2 linked regions of the Oreochromis niloticus genome follow. Each later gene encodes a partner of the first gene's protein in a complex. Links are inferred from orthologs where the notes say so. Each region holds a gene or a part of one and is shown in the gene's direction. Other genes may lie near its edges.

What was found. The genes of interacting proteins can lie anywhere in the genome.
Region 2: the proteins of unc79 (region 1) and nalcn are in contact, whole or in part, in a cryo-EM structure (PDB 7SX3), measured with the Homo sapiens proteins. The link is inferred for Oreochromis niloticus from reciprocal best matches to the Homo sapiens genes UNC79 and NALCN. Residues at the interface, in NP_001333147.1 of Homo sapiens: Cys861, Gln862, Ile865, Glu968, Pro969, Asp970, Phe1020, Gln1022, Pro2088, Asp2089, Ala2092, Pro2093, Leu2095, Leu2096, Met2099, Leu2139, Pro2141, Asn2142, Gly2143, Ile2144, Gln2147, Leu2148, Ser2151; in NP_001337678.1 of Homo sapiens: Gln349, Met350, Phe351, His352, Glu353, Gly358, Trp359, Gln360, Leu361, Phe712, Ser713, Ile714, Arg717.

Annotation. Positions count from the first base shown.
Region 1 is NC_031983.2:11,500,361-11,507,389, reverse strand, and holds the start of unc79 (protein unc-79 homolog), read left to right. Parts: upstream 1-3,991; 5' UTR 3,992-4,208; coding exon 4,209-4,230; intron 4,231-5,588; coding exon 5,589-5,709; intron 5,710-7,029. UniProt on the Homo sapiens protein: Auxiliary subunit of the NALCN sodium channel complex, a voltage-gated ion channel responsible for the resting Na(+) permeability that controls neuronal excitability.
Region 2 is NC_031987.2:23,390,565-23,398,073, reverse strand, and holds the start of nalcn (sodium leak channel NALCN), read left to right. Parts: upstream 1-4,439; 5' UTR 4,440-4,478; coding exon of another isoform or gene 4,479-4,537; 5' UTR 4,538-4,578; exon of another isoform or gene 4,579-4,590; intron 4,591-7,509. Other genes in the region: itgbl1 (integrin beta-like protein 1), read right to left, coding at 813-904. UniProt on the Homo sapiens protein: Voltage-gated ion channel responsible for the resting Na(+) permeability that controls neuronal excitability. NALCN channel functions as a multi-protein complex, which consists at least of NALCN, NALF1, UNC79 and UNC80.

The DNA of each region.
Region 1 (7,029 bases):
GTGGCAGTAGTCAGAAATGGGCTACGTACGTGTCACAATCATATGGTCAAGACAGTACTTTCAGCTTCCCTTTACGTTTTATATAACTGATGACATTGTCAGTAATTCTGCAGGAGAATCGGGAGCTGTGACGAACAGCGGTATGCAATTTTAAGTATAATATTATAGAAAATGATCCAGACAATGCAACCCAGTGCATGTTTTGTCTATTAACCTTTCCCTCTTTCATTTAGAGGCAGACCTATGAGATGACGTTACTATGATGCAGGCTGCACCACCAATTTTCGCCTTGATTATTATGTTAAAGCTAACGGCTGCAATGCATCTTTGCAATACATACACGTATTGATCCCATAACACTGTTCGATTTGGAATATTTGTCTTATTCAGTGTCGACTATTATGTGAACAGGTATGCTAGTAGTAAAGACTTCAGGGATAAAGTTGGTTCTTATTTCCCAGCTAGATCTAGTTCTTACTGCATCCTGTTGAGGGCGACAGAATACATGTAATGTGAATGCCAAAACCTTTTTGTATGTACACTATAGGTTTAAAATAATCATAAACAATGGACACTGTTTTATTATTTACATCGACCTGTCGTGTTGATATAAATCCACAATTACCCTGCAATTACCCTGATTAAGAAATTCAAAAGGAAAAGCCCTAAATGACAAAGTTAAGCAATACATGTCTTTGGTTTTATTCAGGCAGTCTGTCCTCCAGTCTATTAAATAGAAGGACAGAATAGAATGGAACAGAACAGAAATACAAGAGATTTACTCAGACATCTAGATCGGCCTGTCTTTGTGTTGATTTGTGAAGACTATCTTTTAAAGATTTTTGTTAAGCGGTTCTGGTTGTGATACCATAATATTTTTTTGAAATGACAAAATTTCTATCTATATATGGAATTAACATACAAGTTGTGTAGTGATAGTAATACAGTTATTGATAGCTAAATATTCTCTACAAAGCCTCTGGTTAATCCACTGTTAAATCAAGAATTGCCTTACAAAATTATTTTCCTCACAGTGATCAGGCCACATCATATCTTTAAGACCTCATAGTATCATATTATCCCAACAGATCACTCTCAGACTACAAGTTTACTTGTGGTTCTTTGAGTTTTTAAAAGGAGAATGGGAGGCAGAGCCTTCAACTGTGCTGCCCCTCTCCTGTGGAACCAGCTCCCCGTTTGGATTCAGGAGACAGACACTGTCTCTACTTTTAAGACTAGACTCAACACTTTGCTTTTTGATAAAGGATATGGTTGGGGCTGGGTCAACAAACCCTAAACATTCACTTAGTTATCCTGCTATAGGCTCAGGCTACTACTGGACTTTATGTTTTCTCTTTCCCCTCACCCTCAATTGGCTTCTGCAGATGGCTTCCCCTCCATGAGTCTGGCTCTGCTGGTGATTTCTTCCTGTTAACAGGGAGGTTTGCCTTCCCACGGTTCCAAAGTACATGCTCATTGGGGGTGGCTTGATTGTTGAGGTTTTCTCCAGTACTGTAGGAACGTTATAGAACACCTTCAGCTGATTATTGTGGTGAGCTGGTACTATATATATAAACTTGAATTAAATTGAATGTTGTTGTTGTATTATCAATATTAATCAATATTCATTACATGGATTATCAAAAATCCATCAAATGCATATTACTACTTCAGCACTCTGTGTCCTGTGTACTTTCTAGAGAGAAAAAATGTTGTATATTGCCAACAATTGATTGCTGTGTTCTTAATTTAGGACTTTGTGTGCTTAACTAGCGACTGTTCAGCATTAAAAAAGACACCTTGTGTGCTCATTCAGGCTTAAAATCAATGTTTTGTAACCAATATTTCCCCCTTTCAGTTCATTTTAATCTTCAGGCACACAACCAAGGCCGAATTTGCTGTGATGAGAACTCATTCTGTATGTTTACACGAGTGTCTTTGGCCCATGGAAGTAACTCCTCCCAGGAAGAGTGATGGGAATTAGATAAAAGTACAGGCTATCTGTCAGTATCTCACAGGATGTGAGGATAAGTTTCCAGAGACACATTTTTCTTCTGTGAACGAGATTTACTGTGAGCTGTCTCAAGAAGGATGTCCGTGCTTTTTAGGAGACCCACACTAACCAGGTTGCTGCTGCTGAAGAACATTAAGCAAAATCAGAGGTCAACCATCTACAGCAAGCCACCCAAGGAAAAGATTGGGCCAGTGGTAGGACTGACTAACTTTTATTGTACTTGTAATTGCACTTAAACAGGCAGACATCCCTGAATATCTACACTGTATAATGTCCTGCAACAAAACCAAAGACTGTAGTAATATTTTTCCTAAACTGAATGGATGCTAAACCACAAGTAATGCAATTTTAGGGACTATGGTGGTATAAAAATGCAAACAATATAAAAAAGTCGGTCGTGGGAAGTCAGTGTCTGTGATGGTTCAAATGCCCTTAATGCGAAGAATTCAAGTGAACTGCATTCCCCAGTCTGCAGAGTGGAAGAGATGTTTTATTCATTTGTTATTTATAAGTCAGTGCAACGCTCTGGCCTCTGTAAAGGGATCCTATGATGGAACTGCAGCATAGCAGGAAGTGTTTATGCCACTATAAATCTGTTAATCTGTCCTAAGGGACATCCATAGGGGCTTTTACAAAGCTCATCCCAGGTTAGGAATACCATGGTGGAGAGGTACAGAGGGAATATCATGGCAGGAAAATATAAGTGGGTGGTGGAGGTGAAGTTATATCATGCAGTGAGTCACTAAGAGCGGGGCCCTCTGTTGTGTTCATTGGGTGCTTAGTCTTCTCTGTTCAACTTAACATATCAAAGAAGATATTTGAGAGCTCCAACACTAACACTGCATTGAATGTGTATTATAACCTTTCATGCAGTTGATTACATTTGCAGTGTCTGTGAATAAAACACTCATGGTTATATTTTATTGGACTTTCTTACAGCAGTCTACCTTTGCCTTATGCGTGTTTGCTGTGACTCTCCTGGCCCCGGCTGGCTGGATCATGCATCATATCCCAGAATATCGAAGACAAGGCCAGAATACCTCAACATGACTGATTTCTACAGGAACTCTGCAGACAGGCACCCGAACAATGTCACTGTGTGAACCTCTCTCCACTGTGTAAAATGTCGTGAAAAAAAGTAAAACCTTTGTTAAATCTGAAGTCTGACTGAGCTATTTTCCTATACAGTTACAAATGATAACTATTGTGTATTTTATTTCTGAGATTATTGACTGTTTTGAGGGTGATATTAAAAAAAAGACAAAATTTTTGCTTTAAAACACTTTGAGGATATCATTTCCATCAGTCAGGAGTATAGACATACAAATTTCTTGGCAGAAACCATGATGGGAAGGGTCTGTCAGGACCTCAGACCCTGCGGTCTGTTTATCGTTCAGTCCTGCATCTACTAGCGGAAGTGCCGCTTAAATGAGAAATGCTGCATTTAGACACAGGCTTAAATATTCATATACATGCACATTTATAGCTCGAAAGTGTTATTGGATAACAATGTACTCTTTAAAGCGCCCAGCTGATAGTGGAGATTAGTATTAATATTACTAAATATCAGTATAAAAATATTAGGACACGCTGCCAATCCACGGTGGCCAATCAGCTGTATTTATATAAAATTGGAAAAAAAAACCCACGATGTTTTCTCAAGGACATTATGTTTAAGAAGGTGTGACAACCATCTGTTGCATGTTTAGCATTTCATGCATTACAAATACACACATGTAAAGCATCACGGAGGCAAATAAGCGGAGGTGCTTAGTATTTCCCTCCTATAATCAGCTCAAACAGCGCTGATAGGGTTGTCGGAATTCTTGAATGACAATTTGTCAAAGCCGGATCAGTCCATTTGGAAAGGTATGGTGTGTCACATATATGTCACCACCCATCTCTGCAACGAGAGAGCAAAATCCCCACCACCACCTCAAAAAAATATATAAAAACGATTTACAAAACAAGCTCTCCCTTTATTTCCGTTCAAAGATCGCGAAAGCGACCGAAGCACAGCTAAAACACCACAGCGTATAAATCCGTCGTGCAAAGTGGTACAATCAAGACGAGCCTGGGCTGCAAGGGGGCATAGTCACTTTTTCACGACTGAGGGAAACACAACGCCGGGAAGGGAAAAACCTATCAAAACAACTGACAGTCTGGGTTTTATGTTTCCCCAAGTGTCTGCGAAATGTCTACGAAGGCAGAGCAGTGTAAGTACGGCTGTGTGTATCTGTGCGTGCGTGTTTCTGTTTTGTCTTGTGAGGGGGCTGGAAACTGATTTTTTTTTTTTTGGTTTAACCAAGAAAGCGAACAAGGGGAGCTGTCCTTGGTGATGAAACCGCGGTTGCCAAGGCAGGTTGCAACACGTCCTCTCACTGCAGAGGATGGCTGGAGGTCTCAGTGCACACACAGAGCCACTGAATCACCCTCTGTTTCTCTGCGTGTTGATGGAACAATTCCATGTCCGGATCGCTCTGTGATCCGTGTTATTTATTTCTTTTAAATTTTATTTTATTTTGATTGACGTGGCTGGCTGAGGCGCGTGGGAAAAGCGAAGTGTAATGCTGGTCTCAAGGTCGACCTGACAGGCTACTGAACAATATGGTGGCTTTATATTGATCAATCGTGGGGTCTGATCACACTATATTGACGTCTGTTGTTCTTTCCACTTCGCTGCTTGTGAACAGGTGGACACCAGCCGCTGTCTTCTGATTCTTTACCGCTAAACAATAGCTAAAAGACGGGGTCAAACTCAGTGTTAGGGGTTCCCAGCCCCATCAGCTGGTTAAAAGTTGGGTGTTGCTCCTGTTGTTTGGTAGCCAGTAAGTGAGGGAATGAACAGAAAACGCTGAATCTGCTGTTGTGACTAACAGCTCGAAATATTATTAAAAGCTTGAAAAATATTAAAAAATTAGTCCTTTTTTTCTGAGGAGGTTTAATTTTATGATGAACAGGAAAGATGCTGTGCTTCAGTATTTATCGCAGCACATGCTTTGACCAGACAATCCTCCAAGCCTGCAGCTGTTATTTTTATTTTGGGGTTTGTCATTTACAGGTCAGGAAGGAAGCTAAACATTCCTGCCTAAAGTCACAGAAAATGGGTCAGCGATCACCCACTTCAACATATTTGAACTCCTAACAACAAACAGCACAGTCATATCTGAACCTACAGAGATTATTTCAATATAGAGCAGCCAGCTGGGCTCATTACAGAAATGTTCCTCTGTGTTGCTTCTTAAGCCCCCTTTCATGTTCGCTATAACCACATTTTCCCAGCTTGTCTTGGGACTTGAACTGGCAACCTTTCGTGTGTGAGCTTGTTTCTGTAAGCAGTAGGTTACTGCCTCCTCTAGGGCTTCCTGTGACCTGCTGCTATACCAAAAAAGGTCGCCCGGTGAAGGCCAGAGAACCATGGGAAAACACACTCTTTGTTTAACTTAATAGCTGAAGGATTCATGTTAAATACTACCTAACAACTTGTTCAGTTACATGATATATGTCTTTGCTGTCGTGCATCATATCTCACTAGTGTTGATTTGCTTGTTGCTCTGCTCTTTATTTTGTCCAGTTGCCTCTAAGATACGATACTTGCAAGAGTATCACAACCGTGTGCAACACAATATTTACCCAGTGCCCTCCGGAACAGACATTGCAAACACACTGAAATACTTTTCCCAAACCCTGCTCAGGTAAGTACCCTGCTCTGGAGCCACCAGGTGAAGTAAAGATTGTAGAATGTTTGATATTAGCTTCCTTCACAATCAGATGAGATTAATTACAGCAGGTCGCTCTGACACACTTTCTCAAAGGCATGACAGTGACACAATTCAATGTCTCATATTAATTTATAATGTCAGCAAGAGGTTAAGGAAGTGGCCATCATGGCAGATGTTGCCTCGCCTCTTCTGCTCTGAAAGATACAGACTGTAGCAGATTTCCTGTGTAATTATGGTGTCGTCTTTTTAAGGCAGCCGCAGAGATAGATGGCTCAGTGATGTTTATTGATTCAGTGGTCGGTTGCTAGATGAACGCTTTCCTGGGGCGGTTTGTTGTGTCCTTCCCAGAGGGCCTGGAGTTCAGCTCCTCCGGCTATGCAGTTGCAGGGTCAGCCTGCTCTCTTGGGTGCTGTGAAGGGAACAGCATGTTATTTCCTCTTCCAGCATAGGTCAAGTAGGCAGCCATTTTGAACACGTCTAATTTAATAGAGCACTATTTCCTCTTTTTTTTCTCTCTGTCCAGTTGGGGCTTCATTTTTCCAGACATGCTCTGCAGAGATAGGATATTTCTTGTGGTTGCAGTATTACTACCCGCCAGCTTCAGTGAGAACAGAGGCACTGTCTTTTCTTATTAGCTAATTTATTAAAGAATGGTGGGATTACTGGAGGCTGAACTTGTGTGCCTCACTTCTATCATTATTATCAGCTTAGGGTGCAATCTATTTGAGATTGGCAGCTGGCCTCAATTCTACACAACTCCTCAGCCATCCATAAGGATTATTCCTCTGCCGTGGTGCTCACAGAGTATCCTGGATACTCCATACTTTGCTGAAGGGCTGTCCTGAACCAGTCACTGGGGTGTTTCAAATGTAGCCTCTCAGGGCACAGATTGAGCGTGACAGGGGTGGCAACTCTGGAAATGGGCATTAACTCGAGTGACGATTGTGCCTCTGCGGGGCAGTATCATGCGAGCGAGAAAAGAGTCACTCAGTATGATGCCACTGTTAACGGTTCTTTGATATTTTCCCGAAGCACAGTCTCTTAGCCTCAGATATGCAGAACAAAATCACTCTGCCCACCATTAGAGGAGTCTGGATTCCTCAGCGGGGACTCCAGGATTATCCATACATCTGTGCCTTCTGAAGCCCGGGGCGAAGAAATAGAAGAAAAAAAATCAAAAGGGAGAGAGAGTGGGAAAGTGGGAGTAGCGAGCCTTGAGAAGTGGAGCAGGCATGTGTCATCTTCGCAGAAAAGAAATAGCCAAAGGAGGAGGTTGTTGATTCATGCACCAAT
Region 2 (7,509 bases), on another chromosome or scaffold:
AAAGTATTGCAACTACCTGGATTCCCAGTAGCTGTTGCTTTCTGCAATGCATGTGTGGGTTAGCTGCAGCTGTTCAATAAATATCCCCTGTACACTACATATGCAATGTAATCACTACAGAGGCACGGTGCACCTGCTAAAGAGTAAACACCCACAACTTTATGTCATCGTTAAATATTTACAGTTCTGCTAACCAGGGCTCGACTTTAGAGTAGCAAGGTAAACAGAAATGAGTCTTATATTCGTTACTGTATCCAGTTTCAGTGACTGACTTGATGTCCTTTTGTTTCCATTTACAGTTTGTATTAGAGGTTTAAACTTGAATGTTCGTTGTTTCGGTAAAAACAAGTAAAAGCTCTGATACAAAATAATTCATTGCAATTACCCTTTTCTGTTGCATAATATGGGCTTTTCCTCCTTATTTTGATTTTGCTTGTTGCTATAAACTGATACCACAGCAAATCCTTTTAAACTGGAGATTTGTTTTTCTCACAATAAGCTCAACTGCAAAAGAATGTAAGCTGAGCTGTGCAAAAAGAAAGTAAAACAAAACAGAAAAAAAGTTTGCATCCAATGTTAGACGACAGAATCCGAGACACACGCAGCATTATGATAGCAAGTAAAGTGGCATAAAGAAAACTGCACAGGAAACAAGTGTGAACTATAGGAATAGACTTTCCTAAACTTTCCCACATTGCACTCTCTAAGTGTCGCCTTTGTCAGCAAAAGTCTGCACCTCCCTTTTCCTTCTTGCTCTCCAAGCTATCCTAAAATAAACAAGAAAAACAACAAAAAAAACAAAGCAAACTCACCTCACCGACTGCAACAAAGAGTCCTCAATGAAAGAGAGAAGGATCAGAAACAACGGCACTAACATGGACTGTACCAAAACCTCAGTGTGCATGTTTAAATCCCACAGAAAGCTGAAGTAAAGTAGCTTGAAGGAATGCCCCAATCCTTCACTCCTGAAACAGACAGGAAGAGAAGGGAGAGGGAGAGGGAAAAGAAAAGGAGTAAAGGAGAGAAAACGCAGCAGGCTGGCCTGAACTGGCTCGGTTCCTTCAGAGGCCAACAGTCCTCCACATGCAAGTGCCTTTGATTAGTCTTGACTCTCAGACACAGTCCTGGGCAGGAGCTAAAGTAGGGAAACCTGCCAAAATGAAAAGCTAAGTCACCAGTTTGAGAAGTAATTAGAAGCAGACGGCTTCTCTAAATTTTTTTTGTTTCAATCTTTCCCCTTTCCTTTTCCAGATGATCTCTCTACGTTGCAGTGTTTTTATTTCTAAGTTTTCTTTTGGTGTTTTAATAATAAATAAGATCCAGAGTCAAAGGAGGCAAGCCCCCGCCCCAGTATTTAGAGCGTATCCATTTGTCATAAAAGAAGCCGAGGAATTGTTCAGAGAAACTGCTTGAAGATGAATGTCTTGCTCTTATTCCCACATTATGAATTCAAATCAGTAGTTCACAAAACCAATAAGTCTTTTGTGGTAAACACAAAAACACATATATATGAACACAACACAAAATGCTGTGATCTTTGTGAGTAGCTGCACAGCTTGTCCTCTAGCATCATGTTCCTTTAGGTTGAAGGAAGTGGAGGAGAAAAGGAGCAGCGGGTTGAATATTGACTAAGTGTGAGCCACATTTCTGATGTTTGCACAAATACAAGAAATAAGAGTAAATCATGGCTTTAGTGAGTTGACTTAGCAGGGATAATATTAAATAATGATAATAAGAATAATTATTTGAAAGCAAAGCAAACCTCTGCTCTGGCAAACAGGTATATTCCTGTATACGGTGAATTGTTAGCATGGTGCCGCTTTGGGTTTTTTGTTTTTATAAATTTGTCAATTTTTCTTTGTAAAATTCATACAGAAAACAAAAAGATATCTTGGTTATGTTTACAGGAGATGGAGTGATGTTCTGCATTTCACATCTATGACATGAAAACTGATCAAAACAACTTTGTGTTGGATAATTATCTTGCAAACTGGACAAAAAGAAAAGAAAAACTGTTCACATTTTATCATAATAATTGATACTTTGATAAGCAAATCCCTTTAATGTGGCAGCTGTTGCAGTTTTATTGCATGGTAGCTTTATCTATAATAATGTTATTTACCTCCAAAATAATAGGGAATTGAGGCTTTAAATAAATGGTATAGTGCACGATGTTCAATGTTGTGTACAAAATAACAGTAGAGTAGAAACAGAAAGTAGCATAACAGAGGAGTACTTAGGGTACTGCATAACAGTTTTGAGCCACTTCCCATTAGAAACACTGGATATAGGTGCAGTGATTTATTGAAACATACATAAACATAAGTGGAAATACAGCACATAGAGCACAAACAGATTTTATACAGTTCTAACGAGCTGCAAAGTCAATATTTGGTATGACTATCTTTATTCTTCAACATAGCCTGAACTTTCTTAGACAAGCTTACTTGTAATAGCCTTCAGGAATAGTTCTCCAGCTTCATGAAGCTCTACTGTGGATGTTCACTGCCTTTTGTTCTGTTTTCTGTCAAGATGATCGCACACTGCTTCAATAATGTTGAGTTTCAGACTCTGGGGAGGCTAATCCATACTCATAGTGTTCCATTGTATGTTTTTTCTATTCAGGTATGCTTTTACTACAATGGCATGGAGATTGTGATCATTGCCATGTTGAAAAATGAGGCCCTATGAGGCCCTACTGTATGAGGCATCATACAGTATCATCTGGAAAGAGTCTGATCAGACTCTTTCCAGATGATACTGTATGGTGGATAAAACTCTGACCACAGTTTTCTGCATTCATAATTCAGTTCAATGTTGACACCACTGACTTAGAGCAAATGCACTCACAAACCATAATAAAATAACTGTGTTTTACAGATTTACACTGTTGAACCTCCTTCATACATATTGACGAGAATTTTGATCCAAATGTTTTAATTTGAATTCATCCCTTTATAAGACCTGTTGCTAATTATTTTAAGCCCTTCCACAGAGACCATTTCATCAATAAAGAGTAGATGGGTCAATTTAAGGGTCAGATGGATTTCTCATGTCTCGTGTCTTTGCTGGATTTTTTCCCATTTCTTAAGGATATCACTCAAGATACTGTTGAACTACTGCACATAGTTTTTTGGGCTGACAAGTTGGGCTAACAGCTCTTTGGAAATCACTTTGTTTGTGCAAAAATACTATGTCATGCCTGTTGAACTGTTATTGTTGACATTTTTAGCAGATTTGACTAAAGAAATTGGAATGAATTATGTGTTTTATGACAGGCTGCTAATAAAAAGTGCCTAAAAATACAAATAACCCATAAAATGGGTTATTTGCTAGGTTTGTCTGTTATGCTGTTAAATTATGCATAGACACAACACTGGTTTATCCTTTGAATGAGTCATAGGTCAGTTTTAAGTGGTTTAACAAGACACCTGAATCTCTGCATGTAATCCAGATGCCCCACTAAATATGGCCCCTACAATGCCAAAACAAAATGTAGCCCATAATATATATAATGGTTGCTCAGATGGAGTTCAGGGTTCAGGTCAATATCACACTATCATAGCTCACTAAAATACTGAAATAGAATGAGGTGATTAGCAGGCTTAATTTCCCTACTAGAGCAATTCAGAAGATTATATTTAACAACAATGCACATCAATGGCAAATAATCAACCGGTTCTAAGAGATACTGCCGCACCTCTGGGTGATTTCAAGCAACTAAATGGCGAAAGGATATTTTGGTTAAAACCAATCTGCATCTCAGTTACTGAATTTACTACGACCGAAACTACACTCACGTTTGGACAATATACCCAGCCATGCAATATCAAATCAGGTGAAGCCAGGTCACTTGAAATATCACAGAAATTTAGTAAGAAATCCAAGTTTTCACTTTTGTACTTTACTTTCTATAACATGAAAAGCACAGTTGTGATTTAACACACATCCAGTGGTTGTATTCTTTCAAGAATTGCCCTCTTTGTAACGATATATTGCTTCTACTGTTTATTTATATGTATGTGTTTATGTATATCTGATAGTTATCCATTGTTACTGCTTTCTCTCTTACTAATCTTAGAGTATAAACAAGTAATTTAATAAAATTTAAATAATCAAATATGGCAAATATGATTATTAAAATGCATATTAAATTTAATTAATTGTTAGGACAAACCTATCTTCAGACAACTGTCTCTACATTTTGTACTGTCTTTGAGCAAATCTGTCTCATAGACAAGCTTTGCCAACCTGATAAGCATGTTTGTGTATCAGCTTGGCAAAGGAGTGGAAACAAAGTTAATAATAATAATAATGACATAGTCTGATCAAATTAACTGTGTATCAAGTGATTACCAATAATGCAAATAAATATACTTGTATGATGTGATAGAGCAGCATGGCGAGCTTAAACTGTTACCACGGAAACGGCTGCGCGCCTCCGCAGCACGCACTGGTGCTGTTGATGTGATTGCTACCTGCGCGCTCCCGCGTTCTCCATACGATCCCAACACAGCCGGAAAACAGCTGATGTCATGGACAGTGCTGGACGCGGCAGATAAAAGAAACCCTCCTCTCGTAAGTGATTCAACGTGTTTCTTCTCTCTGCTTCTCCACCCGTCGCGAGTCACTTTCAGCAGTTACGTTTTTAGGATGCGTCTGAGGCTAGGTGCTGCCGCGCGCTAGCTTACTGGTCCTCCAGGAAGTGAGGAAAATCTCATCCTCCGGAGTAGGCCTTCGTGAAACATTGCCGTGTATTTGCTACGCTGTCACGTGGTCAGGTTGTTACGTATTATATAGCTTCATGTAGGCCCTATACTTGAACATATTCATGTATATTGTTGTATTTAGCTTGCTTTTGCGCCTATAGCACCTGCTCATATTCGTTTCCATAGTAACCTTGGCTCGTCCGACGTCATTCATTCAGCTTTCAGTCACAGTATGGATATCCAGCGGTTTGACAGCCATTTTGCACGACGTGGGGTCGGTCATATGCTGCAGCCTGTCAGTGGCTTTCCCGAAATGGTTTTAGGATTTCACATTTGCTCGTGAGCCCCTCGTGGTTTCCAATCAGGAAGCCTGATCCTGGTGTTCCTTCTCTGACATCGATTAATTAGAACATTTTCAAGGTTATATAAGCACCTCATCACAGTTTGTGCAGTTATGGTCTCAAGAAGAAACCTTAAAACATAGGAGAAATGCTACAAGCATTACAGGAACATTGGCATCCTGTAATATTTAATGCTGGGGATCCACTAGTTTAAACACCTGGGCCAATGTAAATTTGTTCATTTTCATTTTGCTGTAACTGTTCAGTTTTAAAATCTTTCACAGCTTCACGACACTTCCTGGAACATCTATCCAGTGATTTGATCTGACAAAGCAGATAAACACCAGCTCCTGAAAGTGGAAAATGTCATTTTATTTGCAAAAAAGGCCAGCGTCACACAACTGTTGGCTGCTACCAATGCTGATCTGTGCATCCCTTTGGAATGCATTTGAATACAATCAGTCATTAGGTGACATACTAAGTGCTATTCGATATTTAATGTTGACATCATCAAAAAATCACAATATTTAACATCTGTATCAACATACAATATTTCTGAATAAGATGAATGTGAGTTTGAAATGTGAAGTGGGTCACTCATAGTAGTAGTTACACATTTATCATCCTGCAGAGCCAGCTGTTTCAGATGTGTGAAGCATTGGAGTGTCTTTTAGGTCTTTGCTTTTGCTGTAATGGCTTACCACTTTACTTTTCATTGTCACCACTCTCAGCTTTTGTCAGCCTCATTTTAAATATACCCACACTACTGGCCTACCATTGAATAGTTGTAAAGGTCTGACCTAAATTATCAGCATTCCTATGAATCTGCTTTTCTGATCACTTTGGCTTTGTATGCAAGACAAAGTAGTTAGAGTCTTAGTTTGGAACCTTTGGGGGAATTCATTTGAAGGTATAGCACTAGTTTACTTTGCCCTCGTGGGAGCTTTGTAAAATATAAAAAAAAAATATAAAAAATACAAACTGGTGCAATGAGTAAATGAAAGGTTTAAATACTGTTAAACTCCTTAATAAAATGTATTTTCAAAGTCTGCCTTTTAGCTCATTTTATGCTTTTGGTATACAGTTGGGTCCACACATTTTTTGTACAGTAACACATTTTTTTTTTAAAATTTTGCCTCTTTACACCAAGTGGATTTAAAATCAATAATCAAGATTTGATTGAAGTGACTTTCAGCTTTAATTCAAGAGGTACTTCGCAAAAGTACTGCATTAGGGAACTACAGCCAGTTTTAAACAAACGCCCCTATTTGAGAGGCTCAAAATTAATTGGACAAACTAACATCATTTTAAATATCACGACTGTTTTTAATACTTGGATGAAAATCCTGTTCAGTTAATGAATGTCTGAAATCTAGAATCCATGGCCAACACCAAATGCTGTATTTCCTCTGTTACGATGCTCTACTAAGGCTGCTGCAGCGGCCTTCATTTGCTGCTTGTTTGTGGGTCTACATTTAGTTTTGTCAGTCAGTAAGTGAAAAGTATGCTCTGTAGCACTAAGACACATGTGTCTGACATGGTAATTAATAAATATCCCAGTTCTTTCCCTTGTGGGGTTATTCTATGTATAAAAAGGTCTGTAATTCCTGAACAGTTAAGGCATTTATTTTGCTAAACATCTTGAATTAAAGCTAAAAGTCTATACTTCAATCATGTCTTGATTGTTTGATTTAAAACCCACTGTGTTAGTGTACACAGGCAAAAAAGTGTAAATTTGTCTGTGTGATTTTTTGGGATATTTTATTCAAATTGAAATCTTCAGATGAAATGTTACACAAAACTTATCTGTGGAAATGAAAGTAGAGGTTAATGCTATTGCTATTGCGGCGTTATTATTCTCTCATCCTTAGACACTGTATGAAAAGTGCCACTAACTTAAAAAAAACTTTTTCATAAACAACCATACAGGGGGTTTGTGCTAGAGCAGCTATGAATACCTGAATATCATTGTAGGTTATGGTTAAGAGATAAAGAATTGAACAAATGAGCTGCATGCCCACATCTACAAAAGTATTTCTTGTGTCTTGAAAGAAGATGCTGCCCTCAAAATGCACTCAAAAATAGAAGTTCAACCAAGAAAGTTTGCATACTCAAACAAATACTCACAGTTACAATTAATGTGCCCAGAGATCACATTTTTTCCCGTGAGGAACATGTCCTTTCTCCAAATGGGAAAGTAATTGCAGTCTTTGCCACCTATACTCCCACATAATAGCACTTAGACCCTGTAATTTTGTTTTCACTCTTCCTCACGTCTCCATCTGCATATGTTAAGTGTAGCAATTACACTGGGAAATTGCTTCTAACTACATGGGGTTTGTAGGATGGATGGACAGTTTCTTTTCTTGGTGGGGGCATAAAAAGGAAACAAGGATGTGATACCGTTACATTGTTCTGCCTTCGTTCCAACCCTAACTTAGAGTTCTGTCTCAAATAGG